2 linked regions of the Macaca fascicularis genome follow. The protein of the gene in region 1 purifies or fractionates together with the protein of each later gene. This does not show direct contact. Links are inferred from orthologs where the notes say so. Each region holds a gene or a part of one and is shown on either strand. Other genes may lie near its edges.

The links.
Region 2: the proteins of SLBP (region 1) and MIF4GD purify together in Homo sapiens (affinity purification with western blotting; 3 studies listed by BioGRID and IntAct, with this or other methods). This does not show direct contact. The link is inferred for Macaca fascicularis from reciprocal best matches to the Homo sapiens genes SLBP and MIF4GD.

What each region holds. Positions count from the first base shown.
Region 1 is NC_088379.1:1,832,925-1,835,651, reverse strand, and holds the end of SLBP (histone RNA hairpin-binding protein), read left to right. Parts: intron 1-1,161; coding exon 1,162-1,278; 3' UTR 1,279-2,086; downstream 2,087-2,727. UniProt on the Homo sapiens protein: RNA-binding protein involved in the histone pre-mRNA processing.
Region 2 is NC_088390.1:81,653,122-81,657,433, reverse strand, and holds the end of MIF4GD (MIF4G domain-containing protein), read left to right. Parts: intron 1-1,440; coding exon 1,441-1,550; intron 1,551-1,730; coding exon 1,731-1,886; intron 1,887-2,000; coding exon 2,001-2,093; intron 2,094-2,818; coding exon 2,819-3,046; 3' UTR 3,047-3,555; downstream 3,556-4,312. Other genes in the region: MRPS7 (small ribosomal subunit protein uS7m), read right to left, coding at 3,859-4,080. UniProt on the Homo sapiens protein: Functions in replication-dependent translation of histone mRNAs which differ from other eukaryotic mRNAs in that they do not end with a poly-A tail but a stem-loop. May participate in circularizing those mRNAs specifically enhancing their translation.

The sequences.
Region 1 (2,727 bases):
GTGGATGTTTCAGTGAGCCGAGATCGCACCACTGCACTCCAGCCTGGGCAACAGAGCAAGACTGACTCAAAAGAAAAAAAAAGAAAAAAACCGTCTGCTGGGCACAGTGGCTCACGCCTGTGATCCCAGCACTTTGGGAGGCTGAGGCCAGCAGATCACCTGAAGTCAGGAGTTCAAGACCAACCTGGCCAACAATGGTGAAACCCCGTCTCTACTAAAAATACAAAAACTAGGCCGGGCGCGGTGGCTCAAGCCTGTAATCCCAGCACTTTGGGAGGCCGAGATGGGCGGATCATAAGGTCAGGAGATCGAGACCATCCTGGCTAACCCGGTGAAACCCCGTCTCTACTAAAAAATACAAAAAACTAGCCGGGCGAGGTGGCGAGCGCCTGTAGTCCCAGCTACTCGGGAGGCTGAGGCAGGAGAATGGCGTGAACCCGGGAGGCGGAGCTCGCAGTGAACTGAGATCCGGCCCCTGCACTCCAGCCTGGGCGACAGAGCCAGACTCCGTCTCAAAAAAAAAAAAAAAAAAAAATACAAAAACTAGCCGGGTGTGGTCATGCAGGCCTGTAATCCCAGCTACTCAGGAGGCTGAGGCAGGAGAATCACTTGAACCTGGGAGGCAGAGGTGGCAATGAGCCGAGATTGCACCACTGCCCTCCAGCCTGAGTGACAGAGTCAGACTCTGTCTCAAAAGAAAACAGTTTTAAAATGTATCAATTTAAATGCTGTCTCCTGTCCTGAGACAGCCACTATTTGTGGTGTTGTCTAGGCTTTTAGAATTCTTTCTGTGTTTATAAACTATGTACATGGCCAGGTGCAGTAACTAGTGACTCCTTCCTATAATCCCAGCACAATGGGAGGCCAACCAAGGCAGGAGGATTGCTTGAGCCCAGGAGTTCAAGACCAGCCTGGCCAACATATACTCCATCTCTACAAAATAAAAATAAAATGTGTGTACATCTAAACTTCAGTGTCTTGTAAATAGTACATGTGGTTTCTCTTTGCAGTGTCACTATTAAAATCTCAGTTGCACATGAAGTGTACACCTTGCTGTGCATTACGTCACATGATTTACCACATAAGCTGTGGGGGTGTAGGAAGTGGTCCCTGTTTTCAGGGTGAGATGAATGTCAGCTGACCCATGCTTCTGTTTTCCAGGATGTGTACTCTGGCACACCCACCAAGGTTAGACATATGGACAGTCAAGTGGAGGACGAGTTTGATTTGGAAGCTTGTTTAACTGAACCCTTGAGAGACTTCTCGGCCATGAGCTAACTGCCACCTGGCGGCCAGGAAGAGAAACAGCTCCTCCCCGACTGGGTGGAAGGCTGGCCAGGCACCAAGCATGTGTGTGCACTTATACCTGGTGGTTTCTCTGTTAGTAGTCCATTATCTCATGATGAATTATTTTTGCCTTACTTTCTTAAGAAACATTAATAAGAAACATTAATTTTATGTATAGTGAGTGTATTTTGCATGTTTTAAATTGTAAATGGCGCTAAATCCAAGAAAGTGTACTTGAAGCAATCTTCCAGCAAGCTTAATTGCATAATCCCTGTTGTCCTCCAGGGTAAGCTGACAGGCCTACTTAACTGGTTTTCCACAGGCACTTCAGTTGCTGCTTGTCAGATGGACTGTTTTGGATTTAACCATGTAATCCATGGGACCAATTGAGAGTCAGCTACTTTTATAGGCATCAAAGTATTCTCAGACACCTTTAATATCTTTATGGAAACTTAGTTTTTGGCCTTTTACCAGTATGTCATAACAGCACTCTGAAGTCAGACATTGTTAAATTGAGCTATTAAACTAATGGGTTTTATGTAAGTTATATGGTCTTAATTTGGTACTTGTAAATAGCACTAGTTAGATTCTTTAGAATACTCCAAGAGTTAGGGCAGCAGAGCAGAGCGATTTAGAAAGAACATTTTAAAACAATCAGTTAATTTACCATGTAAAATTGCTGTAAATGATAATGTGTACAGATTTGCTGTTCAAATATTCAATTGTAAACTTCTTAAGACTGTTTTGTTTCTATTGCTTTTGTATGGGATATTGCAAAAATAAAAAGAAAAGAACCTTCTTTAAGTGACTGAGGGTGTTGCCAGGTGGCCCAGCTGCCATGAGAGCGAGGGTCAGAGTTGTGTCTGCCTTTGTTGTGTCTGAAGCGAGTGGCACTGGGTAAAGGGCTTTCTTTATTTATTTAATGTTAGTTTTTGATAGTTTTGCTCTTGTTGCCCATGCTGGAGTGCAATGGTGCGATCTTGGCCTGCTGCAACCTCGGCCTTCTGGGTTCAAGCGGTTCTCCTGCCTCAGCCTCCTAAGTAGCTGGGATTACTGGCATGTGCCACCACGCCCAGCTGATTTTGTATTTTTAGTAGAGATAGGATTTCTCAAGGTTGGTCAGGCTGGTCTGGAACTCCCGACCTCAGGTGATCTGCCTGCGTCAGCCTCCCAGAGTGCTGGGATTACAGGTTTGAGCCACCGCGCATGGCCGGGGGCTGCCTTTCGTAGGTGTCATGTCATACTTGGTCTGATGCTTATCAGCACTGGTATGGCAGCCTTCCCTGTCTCCTGGGACAGACCCTGTGGCAGGACAAGCATCAGTCTGAGGGTGCCCCTCCCCCACTGTCTTCACCCTTGGACCCTGGCTGCTGCCTGCAGACCACTGGCCCATGACCACAGCCACATGTCCTGGAGATCCCTCCAAGTGATTCTGGGCTG
Region 2 (4,312 bases), on another chromosome or scaffold:
AACTACATTCTTACTTTGATTGGTTCCTACCAGCCACATAACCCCTCCCCATTTTCTCTGACTGGGCAACAGTCAGCAGACAGACAGGCTAAAGCTGTTTGTTTGTATGGTTACTGTCCTCTGTATGGTTTCTTTTCTCTTTTTTTTTTTTTTGAGACGGTTTCTCTCTTGTTGCCCAGGCTGGAGTGCAATGGCACAATCTCGGCTCACTGCAACCTTCGCCTCCTAGGTTCAAGCAATTTTCCTGCCTCAGCCTCCCAAGTAGCTGGGGTTACAGGTGCCCACCACCATGCCCAGCTAATTTTTTTGTATTTTTGTAGAGACGGGGTTTCACCATGTTGGCCAGGCTGGTCTTGACCTCCTGACCTCAGGTGATCCACCCACCTCGGCCTCCCAAACTGCTGGGATTACAGGCGTGAGCCACTACACCGGGCCCTTTGTATTATTTCTTTTTTCTTTTTCTTTTTCTTTTTTTTGAGACGGAGTCTTGCTTTGTCGCCCAGGCTGGAGTGCAATGGCATGATCTCGGCTCACTACAATCTCTGCCTCCCGAGTTCAAGCGATTCTCTTGCCCCAGCCTCCCAAATAGCTAGGATGACATGAGATGATGCACAAGCTGCCACACGTGGCTAATTTTTGTATTTTTAGTAGAGATGGGGTTTCACTATGTTAGCCAGGCTGGTCTCAAACTCCTGACTCCAGGTGATCCACCCACCTTGGTCTCCCAAAGTGTTGGGATTACAGGCGTGAGCCATTGAGCTCGGCCATGATTTCTTTTTTTTTTTTCTTTTTTTTTTTTTGAGACGGAGTCTCGCTCTGTCGCCCAGGCTGGAGTGCAGTGGCCGGATCTCAGCTCACTGCAAGCTCCGCCTCCCGGGTTCACGCCATTCTCCTGCCTCAGCCTCCCGAGTAGCTGGGACTACAGGCACCCGCCACCTCGCCCAGCTAGTTTTTTGTATTTTTTAGTAGAGACGGGGTTTCACCATGTTAGCCAGGATGGTCTCGATCTCCTGCCCTCGTGATCCACCCGTCTCGGCCTCCCAAAGTGCTGGGATTACAGGCGTGAACCACCGTGCCCGGCCTTTTTTTTTTTTTTTAATTTAAGTTCAAGGGTACATGTGCATAACGTGCAGGTTTGTTACATATGTATACTTGTGCCATGTTGGTGTGCTGCACCCATCAACTCGTCAGCACCCATCAACTTGTCATTTACATCAGGTATAACTCCCAATGCAATCCCTCCCCCATCGGCCATCATTTCTTGTAAGTACCATGCGCTGATTGCACCACTGGAGTCACTGTCCTCTGTATGATTTCTGATCTCTTTCACTTCAAGCATATGAGAGTGCTCTACTCTAAATATCTCAAGTTCTTAGAAGCAGGTGGAGGCAAATGTGATAAAGCAGCAGCTCTAGGCTCCCCTCATATCTCTACCCCTAGATCCGGGTGCTGTGGACTTGGAGAAAGTGGCCAATGTCATTGTGGACCATTCTCTGCAGGACTGTGTGTTCAGCAAGGAAGCAGGACGCATGTGCTACGCCATCATTCAGGTTGGGGGTCGGGAGAGTAAAGGAAGCTGCTTTGAGGAAAGTGCTTCAGGAGTGGGCAGAGGCCTGGCCTGCAGGACAGAGATGCATAGGGTCTAGCTCAAAGACATAAAGAGGCATAGGATGGGTGGGGTTGCAGGGGCACCGCCCCCCACCCTTCACCTTCCTCTCCCTGGCTCACAGGCAGAGAGTAAACAAGCAGGCCAGAGTGTCTTCCGGCGTGGACTCCTCAACCGGCTGCAGCAGGAGTACCAGGCTCGGGAGCAGCTGCGAGCACGCTCCCTGCAGGGCTGGGTCTGCTATGTCACCTTTATCTGCAACATCTTTGACTACCTGAGGGTGAGGCCCCGGCAGCCACCCTGGGAGGCGACATGGCCTGTCACCCGAGGCCCAGGTTGGACTGTTTCCCTCGGCCACTAAGCCTGGTGCTCTGACCCCTCCTCTCCCTCACAGGTGAACAACATGCCCATGATGGCTCTGGTGAACCCTGTCTATGACTGCCTCTTCCGGCTGGCCCAGCCAGACAGTTTGAGCAAGGAGGAGGAGGTGGGTGGCCCCAGCCCCGGTACAAGCACAGAAGGCTGCGGGATGGACAGTCTGGCTCAGCCGAGTGTCAGCTCACTGCTCATGGAGGCCTTTTAGGACGGTGTCACTTCTGGGGCAGGAGTGTGGGGGTGTTTAAGGCCTGTCAGAATTACAGGACAAGCTGCCAGGTCTGGAATTTATCCAATACAGACAGCAGCCAAAACCTACTGGCTCAGCAGCTTCCTTCTCAGTCAGAAAGCCAATCTCTGATGGCAGCTGTGCGAGCCATGGCTAGCTGTGGGTACAGATGGCCCCAAAGCCAAACCAGGGTCAGGCAGTGTGAGGAAGGCAGGAGAGCGGGATGAAGGAGTGGTTTGGAGACAGGCTTGAGTGGAGCCTGGCCAGACGAGGGACCTCAGGAAGTCCCGGAACTCATTTCTTTCTGTGTAAGATGTGGAAGTCTGCTAGGAGCCACTGAAAATGCTTGAGTAAGAGAATGATACCATCAGCACAGCACAGCTGGCTCCTGCAAAACTCTACTAACACTGCAGAGCTGTAAAACCAGTCAAATTCAGACCATTAGTGATAGCTCTGCTTCAGTGGTGAAGAAGTACCCACTGGATGGTGAGGAGGGAGCAAGGGAATGAGTGTAAAGGCAAGGCACAGCACCTGGCACTTGGCAAATGCTGTGTGACAGGCTGACCCTGCCCCAGTTCACTCGTGTTACCCCCCGCCGTCCCCTGCAGGTGGATTGTTTGGTGCTACAGCTGCACCGGGTCGGGGAGCAGCTGGAGAAAATGAATGGGCAGCGCATGGATGAGCTCTTTGTGCTGATCCGGGATGGCTTCCTGCTCCCAACTGGCCTCAGCTCCCTGGCCCAGCTGTTGCTGCTGGAGATCATTGAGTTCCGGGCGGCCGGCTGGAAGACGACGCCAGCTGCTCACAAGTATTATTACAGCGAAGTCTCCGACTAGGCCTCCAGATCAGGGCTTCCTTGCCAGCACTGGCCTTTCTTCTACACACCTCTGAAACTGGCAGTGGAGTCTCTGCCTCACCCAAAGACTTTTCCCTTCCAGACTTTGAGTGTCTTCCCTTCTAGACTTTCCCATCTCCTGGTGAGATGTTTCCCACTTATGCCATGGTCCTGCCCTGAGCCCCTTTCCCCACCACCTTCCCTCAGGGCCAGGCAGAGAAGAGCAACTCCTAAGAGCCACTGCACTGTGTAACCATTAGTGCAACTACTACCTTGGTGCCTCAGTTTACCCATCTGTAAAATGGGTAAGCATAGCCATTGGGATGCTTTGGGATGTCAACGGGCGGAGGCAGAGCACAAGTCATACCAGAAACTGCTTTTTATACATTTTGTACAAGGACAACTCTGGAAGCAAGCCTATTTCCTCCAGCCAGTTTCAATGAATGCTGCACCACATGCTACACCAGTTCAGCGTGAGAAGTTTCTAATAAATCTTTTCTAATACTAAAACTGCTTCCTTTTATATCCAACGGTCCACCCCAAGCTAAGGGAAGAGAAGACGGCCCTGAGTTTCCTGGAGGAAATTCCCAAGTCAATGTGCTCTCTCTTTATAAGGAAATGGGGGCAGAGAGAGCAAGTTCCAGCCTCAAAGAAAGAAGGATTCGTGGATAGTGAACATGCTGCTCCCTCTTTCTCATGAGGCCTGCCCACCCTTACAAAGGAACCACATCCCTAACCCACAGGGAGCTTTCAGCCTGGCAGTGGCTCACACTGTTTGCTGCGGCAGAGGGCCCTGGGCTCCTCCTGGAGACTCTACCACCAGCGGTAGTGGGCCAGGGCACGGTTGGCCTCTGCCATCTTGTGCATTTCATGCTTCTTCTTGATCACAGGGCCCCGGTTATGGAAAGCCTCCAGCAGCTCGTGTGACAGCTTCTCCGGCATCAGTGTCCGCCGGTGCTTGTTCTCCCGGCACTCCGTGATCATCCACTTCATGGCTAGGAAGCGGCGGCGCTGGTCGGGTAGGGGTACAGGGACCTGGGGAGACAGGACATAGGCAAGTTGGTCCAAGAGTCTGCCAGGGTTTGGGGCCTCCTGCCTAATTCTAAGGAGTAGCCACACGTTCCCTCTGGACCAGCCCTGGTCAGGCCTGGTGAGAAGGGCCTGTCTTGTCTTCTTTGAGCTTCCCTCACCTTCAGGTGACCCCAGTGCAGCAGACATAAGAGGCGTTCATTCAGCAAACACTCATTAAGCACTGGCCTCTCCAGGC